3 linked regions of the Ovis aries genome follow. The protein of the gene in region 3 binds, or shares a complex with, the protein of the main gene of each other region. Links are inferred from orthologs where the notes say so. Each region holds a gene or a part of one and is shown on either strand. Other genes may lie near its edges. The genes, in order: LAMTOR4, LAMTOR3 and FLCN.

Region 1 (4,347 bases), on a different chromosome or scaffold from region 3:
GCAGGGTGACAATATACAGCCTTGACGTACTCCTTTTCCTATTTGGAATCAGTCTGTTGTTCCATGTCCAGTTCTAACTGTTGATTCCTGACCTGCATATAGGTTTCTTAAGAGGCAGGTCGGGTGGTCTGGTATTCCCATCTTTTCAGAATTTTCCACAGTTCATTGTGATCCACACAGTCAGCGGCTTTGGCATAGTCAATAAAGCAGAAACAGATGTTTTTCTGGAACTCTCTTGCTTTTTCGATGATCCAGTGGATGTTGGTAATTTGATCTCTGGTTCACTTAGCATGTTTTCAAGGTTTATCTGTGTGATAGCATAGATCAGTACTTCACTCCTTTTTACAACTGGACAATGTTCCATTGTATGGATATGCCGCATTGCTTTATCTGGTCTTCAGTTTATGAATATTTGGGTTGCTTTCCATTTGGGGGCGATTATGAGTGATGCTGCCATAACATCTGTGTACAAGTTTTTGTGTAAACATAGTTTTCAGTTCTCTTAGGTATGTATGAAGGAGTGGAATTTTTAGGTCCTATTTAACTTTCATTTATAAATATAGTAACTCTATTTAACTTTCAGAGGAACCACCAATCTGTTTCCCACTACAACTGCACTATTTTACATCCCTACCAGCAATGTATGAGAGCCCCAATGTCTCCAAATCCTCATCAAGCTTTTTTATTAGTTTATCATCATTTTGCCTCACATTAATATTGCAGCAGGTCTAAAAACTACTTAAATTAAAACAAAAAATTTCTAAATGACACTCATATATTTAAAAAATTACCCCAAGGTCATTTTCTAATTATTCCTGGCAGAGAATATTCAGTATTGCAGCTGCCTTGGCTGCTGCTGCTGCTGCTAAGTCGCTTCAGTCCTGTCCGACTCTGCGACCCATAGACGGCAGCCCACCAGGCTTCCCCGTCCCTGGGATTCTCCAGGCAAGAAGACTGGAGTAGGTTGCCATTTCCTTCTCCAATGCATGAAAGTGAAAAGTGAGAGTGAAGTCGCTCAGTCGTGTCCGACCGTTAGCGCCCCATGGACTAGGGAGGTATAATGCTCTATCACACAGTTTCTTACAGAATCCCGGGACGAAAAATCGCTTTGGAACAAATTCCTGTCAGAGAGCTGCCTGAAGTAGGCACAAGAGTAGCATCTGAATAGCTCTCTATCTACGTCTTTTGGCTCGCTCAGGATTCCACTTGCGAGCCACCTAGCCTTGTTGGAGTCTGCCCCCGCCGCCCCCGTGTGCGCAGGCGCAAACTCTCAGCCCGGCCTCCCTCCGGCCCCGCCTCCAGACCCGCCCCCCGCCGACACGCCCCCCTCCTTCGCGCTCTGGGGCTAAGGGGAAGGGAGATGAATGTTCAAGAGGATGTGCGGCCAATGCGCGAGCGTCTCGGAAGCGGCGCTCCGCACTGGCAGAGTAAGTCTGATGACGTAGCCACTCTCCAATCGGCATCCTGGGGGCGGGACTAAAGTCGGGCAGGGCAGGGCCGGAGGAGGAGACCGCTGGGTGGAAGCACGTGACCGCGGTCTGGAGCCGGAACTAGGTCTGGCTACAAGCTCCCCCAGCACCTAGAGCTGCGATGGTAAGTGAGGACGCATGCGCGGAGTTACGCGCCGCGCCGGCGGTTCCTTACCCCTGTCCCCCAATCTCTTTGGTTGCGGGGTCCTGAGCGTGCCCTCCGGCCTCACCTCCTATTCTCCCTGGGACTGGAAGGAAATGGAGAAGGGAGGGGTGGTGACGTAGAAGGCCAAGGAGAAGTCGCTGGGAGGGTGTGTAGAAGCTGGGGACTAGTCTGAGGGGGAGGCGCAGGCCACAGGTGCGTTTGGGGAGGGGGCCCTTGGGGTAGCAAAGGTGACGTGTGGAAAGCTGGTGGCGCCCGGGCGGAGGAGAGGACTGACGGAGGCTCAGGAGCATCAGTGTTGAAGGCCGTGTAGAGGGAAGAGGGTCTGGAAGGGCCCTGGCTGGGTAAAGAGGCCTGGAGCGGGGGCAGGGGGCACTGTCAAGAGAGGCACTCTGGTTGCCCAAGGGCCATCCTTTCGGCCTACTGCTCACTAATTGCATCTTTACCCACCAGACTTCGGCACTGACTCAGGGGCTGGAGCGAATCCCCGACCAGCTTGGCTACCTGGTGCTGAGTGAAGGCGCGGTGCTGGCGGTGCGTTCTGGAAACGGGAGGGGGGGTGCTCCAAGTACACATGACTCTAGGATGCCTTCTAATGTTGCCCTGTTTGGCCCGATTGGTCTCTGTTCTTGTCTTTCCCTGGTATCACGCCTGGCGTGTAGGAATTAAATCAATTAATCAATCTCTGGACTCTCAGTCTTGTAACTATCCTGAGGTAAAAGAGGTTTACTGACTTTACCAAAGTCAAGCAAGTTACAGGTTTGTTGATAACTGACAATCCCCAAGTTACTCTTGAGTATGTCTTTATTTGGTATTTATTGAAGAGGCTTGGTATTTTGTTCTGTAGTACAATACAGTGTCAGCTCTAGAAGTTTTCAATCTAGCTAGAGACAAGGCTTAAGGCTAAAAGTTCAAAGTAGTGCATGTGGTTAACGCAGCTGAAGGAGTCCAGAAAGTGAAGGATTCAGCCCTTCATACTATAACTTGTGTTTTGGCAAGGAACCTTCCTTGGACGAGGTAAGAATTCATCTGGGCTTAAAAGATGGATGGATGACAGGAAAGAAAGAATATTCAGAGTTGGGAGGTGGACATTTTGCAGGAGTGTAACACCAGCCTATCTGAATTGGTGATGGGGTTATGTTGAAAAGATTTGGAAACATTTGGGGGAAGAAGAGGATATGGTGAGGAAAGGTCCGATTGTGAAGGACTTTCAAGGCTAGGTTAACACATTTGGATTAATCTTGAAGGGTTTTTGAACAGAAACAAGCTGATGAAGTGATTGAGTAGCATTGTTCTGTTAGGCGTAAAGGTAAGACAGAAGGGGCAGGATTCAAAAGCGGGGATGCTGTTGCCAAAATGTAGGTATGAAACCTCTGGTTGCAATGAGAAGCAAGGAGAGAAGGGGTTTTTAAAGGAAGAATTGGTTTGTCTTTGTAATGACTAGAGTTCAGTAATAAAGGGGATACTTTTCTATCCTGTAAGACTTTGACCTCAAGCCTAGAATGATGGTGCCTTAACCAGCAGGGACTTAAGAAAGGAAGTTGACTGGAGAGGGGGAGAGATAGGGGGGATTTTGATAGTGCAGCTTTAAACACTAAGTTTGATATAGAATAATAGGGTAAACTCCAGGAGTTAGTGATGGACAGGGAGGCCTGGCATGCTGCGGTCCATGGGGTTGCAAAGAGTTAGACACAACTGAGCAACTGAACTGAACTGAATAGCCGTTAAATAGATAATGCCAGGAGCTAATCTGAGCATCTTGCCCCAGTACTCTTGTGACACTCACAAGCACGTAAGATAGGTACTGATGTCCCCAGTTTACAGATGAGGAAACAGGTATAGAATCCAGCAGGAGGGCCACCTTGAGGAGGTAAGAAGTTGAGATCATTACCAGAAAAGAGGAAGCCCAGGCCACTGTGACGTCATTATTCAAGGGCCAGGTAGTCCGAAGGGGTTCAGAGAGAAAAGGGATGTTTATGTTTCAGGTTCTGCAGACAGGGTGACAAATGAGAAATGGGAAAAGATGGAGCCTGGGACTCTAGCTGTGGTGGGTGGGCACTAATCTGTAAGAATGTGATTTTTTTCAAATAAGTGGAGACAGGGAGAGAAATGAAGATTCAGGGATTGGGGAAACAGGGTCAGTAATGGACAGAAATGGATGAGAGTTCCTACTTCCTCAGGGAAGCCCAGTATTTTGGAACAAGATGGCATCAAGAGGGGCAACAATATCATAGGAAAGTTTTAAGTTTTTCCAATACTAGGGGTGATGTTGCAGTGTTGGAAAGTGGAGACAGGTTACACAGAAGGGTTCTTGGAGTTGCTTCCCAGTCTGTCCCTGATTCCTGCCCCCCTCCCTCTGTGTGCAGTCATCCGGGGATCTGGAGAATGACGAGCAGGCTGCCAGCGCCATCTCTGAGCTCGTCAGCACGGCCTGCGGTTTCCGGCTGCACCAAGGCATGAGCGTACCCTTCAAGCGTCTGTCGGGTGAGCCCCGGCCTCTGGTAGTGGGGAAGGGGGGTGGGGTGCTGCTCCCCAAGGCCACTCTTCTCAGGGAAAGACACCTGTCTCCTACCAGCTGCCCACCATCTCCTCTGGAATCCTTGTCTTCCCTGTGGTATTTACCCCTGTATCAGAACTATGAGAAAAGCAAGAGAAGGGAGGGGATTTAATGGAGACCTCCCATCTTCTAATCTCTGAGCTTTGACCTGTTGAATT
Region 2 (3,645 bases), on a different chromosome or scaffold from region 3:
AATTTTAATGAACTTTATCAAAAAACAGATAGATAGCAAAGAAATAATCAGATACTTATTATATAAATTCAGTAAAGCTAAGGCACAAATGGATATTTCAAAGGCAAAAATGTTTTAAAGATGCCTCACAGGACTATAAAACACACACTGAAAGAAGCAAGCTAATCTAGAAATCAGCACATCCAGCTTGTTAGTTTCCTAGGGTAGAAGGCTATATATCTTAAATACTGCTTGTTTTTTGCTCAACTAAAGATCTTCTTGTCTCACACAGCATTCAAAGCACCTGGGATTCACAAGGAAATGTTCTACGTACTAGAATACAATTCTGGAGATTATCATAATTTATAACAACTGATGATTTTATAGTATGATAGTGATTTACCACAACTGAGGTTTAACATATTTAAAATACCGACACCACTACTATCCTATACAAAGAGTTTTCACATACAGTATTTTACGGTTGAAAACATTTAGAAATGAAAGACACCCAACAGTTCATTAAATCTAAACCCCACATTTTAAACATGAGCAATCTAAATACAGGCTTCAGTGATACAGTCAGAAACAAAACTGGCTCAAATATCTTGGAAAGAAAAAAACAGAACAGAAAAGTAAAGCAGTGCTAACAGTGGTGAAACCTGGAGACAGACCTTTAAAAAATTCCACTTAAACTAAAACAGAGTAAAAAAAAAAATTGTAATTCAACTGAATACTGTTATGATTTTACACAAAAATAGCCAGTGAAGACCACTGGATATAATGAGATCTTACAATGCTCTCTAGAAAGTACAGCTTCCAAGTGTTAGCCCTCAAATTCTTCCACTTTGAAAAAAAATTGAGTATATTCATACTAGTCACACTCTTTAAATTCCCAAACACATTTACCTTGCCCACTATTGTTCAAAATTTTATAGATCGGTCCTTATGGACCTGAATTCATCTGTGATCATTTTTATGTTTTGTTTGGTTATTTTCTCCACTGATTTTTTTTTTTTTCTGGCTTTCTGAAACTGTTGTAATGTGAGCAAGATACTGTATTAAAGAGGTGAAAATAACATTTAATTTTCCTATCGTAAATGATCACTTATCTATACATCATCTCATCTGAACTAAAAAAATAATAGCATAAGATCAAGAAAGCAGTTCTTAGCTCCATTATACAGATATAAACAATACAATATTTGTTTATATAAATAATTGTTTATAATATATAAACAATTCAGAGAAGTTATATTTCCAGAAAACAAGGAATAGATGGTAGCGCTGGGCCATGCATTAAGGTTTTCTTACTCTAAATCTGTATTCATATCATATTAGACTGTTCAGATCCGGTATTATAAAGATTAAAAGCTGTATTTAAGGTAATTAAAACATACCTGTATTAGCATTGCTGCTGGCTATGAAACTCACTACCAAAGGTAAACGATTGAATTGAACCACCTAAAAAGAGAACAAGATCTAAAGTATAATGTTATATAGTGAAAAAGTGGTATAATTCAAATCAAATATCTTAATCTTTCTAAAAACTTTAAATGTGTAAGATACTAGCTTGACATCATGGTATTACGTCATGAAAGGTGAAAGAGCTGAAAATAAGTATTTCCGTAAAACAGACTTACTAATTATCTCTTAGAGACATTAATATCACTTAGTCTGGAAAGTTTCTAAGGTGGGGCTGTGTCTTCCTCATCTTTTTTTATCTTCTAAAGCCCTGCAAAGTGTCAATTACATAGTAGGGGCTCAATAAATATTTGATAATTAAGGAGCTAAAGGCATTATTTCTCAGTCATTCAAGTGGTTATAACGTCTCAATCTTTTGCCTCCTCTGTACCACTATAATTTAAATTAACTTACATTTAAGTTAACTTAAAATCAGCTATCTTTTTAAAAAATTTAGCTTCAACCTAACCTTTACTGACTAAATTAAAGGTCAGATGAGCTGGTTATCTTCTGCCTAATAGATACTAAAATACATAACCTTTAAAATAAAAAGTAACACATATGTATCATTGGTAGTGCATGACTTACACCCTGGGAAACTCTGCTCTATGGAAAGCAGTGTATGCTCAATTGCTCAATACTGGAGTGAGTTGCCATGTCCTACTCCAGGGGATCTTCCCGACCCAGGAACTGAAACAGTGTCTCTCATGTCTCCTGCACTGGCAGGCAGATTCTTTACTACTGTGAAGAAGTTACTGATTCATTCTAAAGAAAATACAGCTGGCGATCAAGAGATCTGTAGCAACTAATTTCTCTCCCACAAATAATAACCTCATTTATTTTATATATTTATATAATCAAGCCAAAAGATGGGATTAGTAGCAATAACAAATGTAAATAACTATCGTTTGACTTTCAAGGAAAATCCTGTATCTGTCACAACAACAACCACTGTGTCATTTGAGAAATCACAGTTGTTAAATAAGCTAAGGGCACCATCTACTGGAGGTATTAATAACAGTGACCTGACTTACCCTTTTGAGGATAATATATATTTTACTATTCAATCTTTTAATCTAATTGTTCATATTAATTCCTGAAGTAAAATGTGAAAAAAAATCACTACAGTTTAACATAACCAATTTGAAGGTGAAGATGTTAAAATTCCATCACTTTGGAAACCAAAATTTAGAATTATTAAAACAAACTATTCTACAAAGAAGAGAGAATAATAGTTGAAATCATCAGCAAACCATTTGATAATTATGAACTTACCTGGTAGGTGTTATAGTAACAGATGATACTTTTATTTTTTGAAAGTCCGAGTTTGCTCCCTTGGTCTGTCGCAAGGGCAAAAGTTGATAAGAAACCAGGTCTCAAAGCATGCTCTGGAGCATTATCATTGGCCACTGGAAATACAAGTGATTTAAGTAAAAATTATGTAGGATATACAGCGAGAAGACATTTAGAGTATTTAAAAAAAAAAAAACACATAAACTTGTAGAAAAAAAAAGCACAAGAGTTACGCTTCACAATGCTGAAGTTCATAATACTAATTGGGTCTCATCAGTTTAGGTGAGAAAAACCATTCAATCACAACTAAGGGAAAAAATACTGGTTCTCACAATTTTTCAAAAAATTTCAAATGAATACTAACCATCTCTATCTTCTTAATATCTAACTTAAAACAGGTTATGATTATCAGTACAATTAATAAGTTGAATATTCTGGTTAACTATGAGCTAAGTGAGAATATTGGAAAAAAGCTTTTAACCTTTGCTCTTACAAAACCCACAGAAGCATCATTTGTAGATGATGATAATTCTACACCTGGCCACTGATTTAAGTTTTTTATACTCACTGAAAGGTCTATGTGGAGTTGGTTGTACCGTAAGTGCTGAGCTTAAGGTTTTAACAGAGATCCTCAAAAAGAACACTGGAGCTGGAAAATCTGAGATTATTTTGTTCAAAGTCCTCGTTATGGAACTGAGAAAAGGAAGTGATTTGCCCATGGCTACCTATGTTCTGTGCTGGGTTAGGAAGCATACTGGATCACATATCAGAAGATGATGGGTTCTATGACCATCTTGTCACTGACTCATGAGCAACTTGGAGCTGACAATCTACTCTTTGCACTTGACCATTTTCATTAATAAAATGAAAGAACTATATTAGCTAACTTCTAAACTTTGATTGAATTCT
Region 3 (4,213 bases):
TGGGCCGCTAGAGCATAGATGTGAGAGGAAGGAAGAGCTGGTCAAGGGGACAGAGAATGACCGGCAGCGAGACAAAGTGCACTGTCACTCCAGGGACCACGGAGCAAAATCCACGAGGGAAGCAGAGTCCTGGAAGGGCCAGGGGGCAGAGGGGTGTGGGCACCAAGAAGGCGGAGGTGGCGGGGGGGGGGCGGTGCAGACACAAGTGTCCTCTGCTGGGGAAACCTTAGAGGTGGGGGGTATCCGCTGGGCTGCAGCAGTACTGGAGGCACAGAGGTGAGATGCTGACAGCCCGGCGGACCTGACACGCGCCACACAGCAGGGCCTGGGAGGCAGGCTAAAATGGGGAAAGTCTGTGTTTACCACAGCAGTAAAGTGTGGCCAAGCACTCAGCTGCCACTGCACTGGAGCATGAGGGTCACAGCGGAAGCGGCAGAGTCAACCCAAAAGAGATGCCTGACGACCAGACAGGAGGAGGGGTGGCTGGAAGGCTCAGCGAGCCAGAGTATGGGGGGGGGGGTGGTCCTAGAGGAAGGTGGGCAGTGGGAGAGAAGATAGTTTAAGACAAGAGGACACTTCGCTGGAAGACCTTGAGTTCCATGGAGATTCTGGAGAGCCGCACGAAGAGGCAGGGCTAGGGAGAAGGGTCCAGAATGCCACCCCCACCCCGCCCCCCGCCTGAAGACCTCTACTGGCTCATTGCCCCTCCTAAGTGCTCATGCCCATCCATCACTCTCTCCCCTCTCCCTGCTTTATTGTACTGGATCATATACTTTGTCTCATCTTCAGCAGTTCCTTGCACATAGCGGGCACCAAGTTAACACGTGTTAAATAAATAAGTGAATTTAGGAGCTGCCTGGAGAGAGGACAGTTGTTGCCACAGAAAGTGGAACACTTGTGGAGGGTGTCCACGTGAACCTCTATACTTATCAGGGCCACATGGCCACCATCCCACCTAGGTGACAGCCAGCGGGGCCATTTGCACGAGTTGGGCAGGGCAACACAGTCACACCTCAGCTTCAAGACCTGCCATTTTCTAGGCAAGGAAAAGTATCAGAGCCAATTCTAAGAGCAGCGGGCATGGGAAAAAAAATAAAGTAAGCTGCTTACAGCCAACCTCGAGACTTCCCTGGTGGTTCAGACGGTAAAGCGTCTGCCTACAGTGCGGGAGACCTGGGTTCGATCCCTGGGTTGGAAAGATGCCCTGGAGAAGGAAATGGCAACCCACTCCAGTATTCTTGCTTGGAAAATCCCATAGACGGAGAAGCCTGGTATCACAATGAGTTGGACACGACTGAGTGACTTCACTTTCATAGCCAACCTCAAGTGACAACATGAAAGAGGACGTGGGGACCCCACAGTTCTCAGTGCTTCAGCAGGGGCTCGCCCTGTAAGCTGCGGCCCACAGAAAGTTGATGATGTGATCACAGAGTCCAATGTCTGATCCCTTGAGACACAAGTATTTATATTTAAATATCCTTGTAAAGTTTAAGATATTTAAGTACATAAAGTCATCATCCTTCCTACTCTTGGTTACACATCAGGCCCATTTAACCCTTCAGACCACAGCCCAGCCTGTGGGCAGAGGTGATGCTGCTAAGCTTCTTCTGAGCACCCAAGATCAAACTGTCAGGCTACTCTTTTTCTGAGTGACACTCACTCCTGTCTGACAGGACTTCTGACTCCTGGGATCACAGCCGATATAAAACTTAGCTCTTCAGCCGCTCATCTACAGACTCAAGAAAATCTCTCTCCAGCCCCGAGTAGCCAGGTGATGTCCAACGGGTCCAAATACCTCTCTCAGCATCAGCCTAAAGCTGAGCGCCACCGGCCTGGGAGGGAGCCACGGCCCGAGGGAACCACGGCCCCAGGCACCCTACCTCGGGCAGCGTGAGGCCGGGTCTCCGACTCCAATCTCTACCGGATGCCCAGCAGTCACTCCTCCCCAACCAGCTTTCCAGAAGACAAGAAGCAGCAGAAACCCTCCCCCGCTGGAGACGCTCCTCAACAGGACACCTTGTCGGGCAGGGTGCTGCCCACGCCCTCTCCCACCGCGACAGGAACGTGAGCAACCCCCCGCCCGGGGCACCCCGCCCCTGCAATCCGGCCGGAGGACCGAGTAGGGTTAAGGACGGTCTGGGCACCAACACTCGACAGACAAGCCCAGTTCACGGCGGCTCTCGCCCCACATCGGACGGACTGCAGCTCCCCGACGGCAGCACGGCCTCCGGTACCAGAGACGGGCGTGTGACCCTCGAGGGCATTGAACCACTAAACACTTGGCGCGTGAGCACGTCCACCCCGGGGGTCCCCGTGCTGGGGACCCAATGCCGCCGGCCGCCGCGACCCACCCTTTCGCGACGAGGCCGCGCCTGACCTCACGCGCCAAGCTGGGGGCCTCCTCAGCTCCAGGCCGCCGCACCCCGCCCCCGGCCCGACCTCCCCGCCAGCGGGATCACCCCCCTCGCCCGGAACAGCGTCCCTACTAACCCGACCGGCTGCGGCCCGCCCTGCTCCGAGCCCTCCACCGCGCCGCCCCTCTCGGATCTCCGCCCCCCCGCACCCCGGCTGCCCTCACCAAGTCCCCTCACAAGGGGCCGCGCCCGCCTCGGGCGCGTGACTCTGTCGGGCCGTACCACCGCCCGGAGCCGCGGAGGGGGAGCCGGCCGGCAGACGCCCCCGTACCAGAGGCGCGCGGAGCTCCGCCAGACCCACATCCCGGGAAGACCGCACGGGTCTGGGAGCTCCGAAGTCCAGTGGAACCTTAGAACGGTTGCCAGACCCGTCCTCTCCGCCGCCCAGCCCGCGCCCCCACCGAGAAGCCCGGAGTGGTTGCGCCCGCGCGGGCCGGTGGGGGGCGGGGAGGGGTGGAGGAAACCATTCCAGGAGAGGGGAGGATGAGTTAATTTAAAGAGCATTTTTTAAAGAGAATTGAGGAAAAGTAGATCCATTCTAGGACTCCTGGCTCATACCAGGAGGAAGAGAGAAAAAGGACGTCGCGGATATATAGGATGCTATAATTTCTTTTCGTTTTACCGTTTTTATTAAATTTCCGATGGAACCAGTGTTCGGTGGAGCGCGCGGGCCGGGGGCGGGGCAGGAGGCGGCCGCTGGGTGTCTTAAGAACAGCGCGACGCGGGGACCGGGGCCTGGGAGCGCGCAAGCGCGATTCACCCCGCCTGCCCTCACCCGCTGTAGCACGTCGTTTTAAATGTGGAAAATTCTGAAAGAGATGGGAATACCAGACCACCTAACCTGCCTCTTGAGAAATCTGTATGCAGGTCAGGAAGCAACAGTTAGAACTGCACATGGAACAACAGACTGGTTCCAAATAGGAAAAGGAGTACGTCAAGGCTGTATATTGTCACCCTGCTTATTTAACTTCTATGCAGAGTACATCATGAGAAACGCTGGACTGGAAGAAACACAAGCTGGAATCAAGATTGCCAGGAGAAATATCAATAACCTCAGATATGCAGATGACACCACCCTTATGGCAGAAAGTGAAGAGGAACTAAAAAGCCTCTTGATGAAAGTGAAAGAGGAGAGGGAAAAAGCTGGCTTAAAGCTCAACATTCAGAAAACGAAGATCATGGCATCCGGTCTCATCACTTCATGGGAAGTAGATGGGAAACAGTAGAAACAGTGTCAGACTTTATTTTGAGGGGCTCCAAAATCACCGCAGATGGTGACTGCAGCCATGAAATTAAAAGACGCTTACTCCTTGGAAGAAAAGTTATGACCAATCTAGATAGTATATTCAAAAGCAGAGACATTACTTTGCCGACTAAGGTCTGTCTAGTCAAGGCTATGGTTTTTCCTGTGGTCATGTATGGATGTGAGAGTTGGACTGTGAAGAAGGCTGAGTGCTGAAGAATTGATGCGTTTGAACAGTGGTGTTGGAGAAGACTCTTGAGAGTCCCTTGGACTGCAAGGAGATCCAACCAGTCCATTCTGAAGATCAACCCTGGGATTTCTTTGGAAGGAGTGATGCTAAAGCTGAAACTCCAGTACTTTTGGCCACCTCATGCGAAGAGTTGACTCATTGGGAAAGACTCTGATGCTGGGAGGGATTGTGGGCAGGAGGAGAAGGGGACGACAGAGGATGAGATGGCTGGATGGCATCACTGACTCAATGGACGTGAGTCTGAGTGAACTCCAGGAGATGGTGATTGACAGGGAGGCCTGGCGTGCTACAATTCATGGGGTCGCA

Evidence for each region.
Region 1: FLCN (region 3) and LAMTOR4 share a complex: the UniProt entries of both Homo sapiens proteins name them as parts of the lysosomal folliculin complex. The link is inferred for Ovis aries from reciprocal best matches to the Homo sapiens genes FLCN and LAMTOR4.
Region 2: FLCN (region 3) and LAMTOR3 share a complex: the UniProt entries of both Homo sapiens proteins name them as parts of the lysosomal folliculin complex. The link is inferred for Ovis aries from reciprocal best matches to the Homo sapiens genes FLCN and LAMTOR3.

The regions. Positions count from the first base shown.
Region 1 is NC_056077.1:36,680,927-36,685,273, reverse strand, and holds the start of LAMTOR4 (ragulator complex protein LAMTOR4), read left to right. Parts: upstream 1-1,535; 5' UTR 1,536-1,590; coding exon 1,591-1,593; intron 1,594-2,085; coding exon 2,086-2,166; intron 2,167-3,998; coding exon 3,999-4,301; 3' UTR 4,302-4,347. UniProt on the Homo sapiens protein: As part of the Ragulator complex it is involved in amino acid sensing and activation of mTORC1, a signaling complex promoting cell growth in response to growth factors, energy levels, and amino acids.
Region 2 is NC_056059.1:25,128,190-25,131,834, reverse strand, and holds part of LAMTOR3 (ragulator complex protein LAMTOR3), read right to left. Parts: intron 2,853-3,645; coding exon 2,719-2,852; intron 1,444-2,718; coding exon 1,380-1,443; intron 1-1,379. UniProt on the Homo sapiens protein: As part of the Ragulator complex it is involved in amino acid sensing and activation of mTORC1, a signaling complex promoting cell growth in response to growth factors, energy levels, and amino acids.
Region 3 is NC_056064.1:34,662,937-34,667,149, reverse strand, and holds the start of FLCN (folliculin), read right to left. Parts: upstream 2,826-4,213; 5' UTR 2,686-2,825; intron 2,628-2,685; exon of another isoform or gene 2,491-2,627; intron 1-2,490. UniProt on the Homo sapiens protein: Multi-functional protein, involved in both the cellular response to amino acid availability and in the regulation of glycolysis.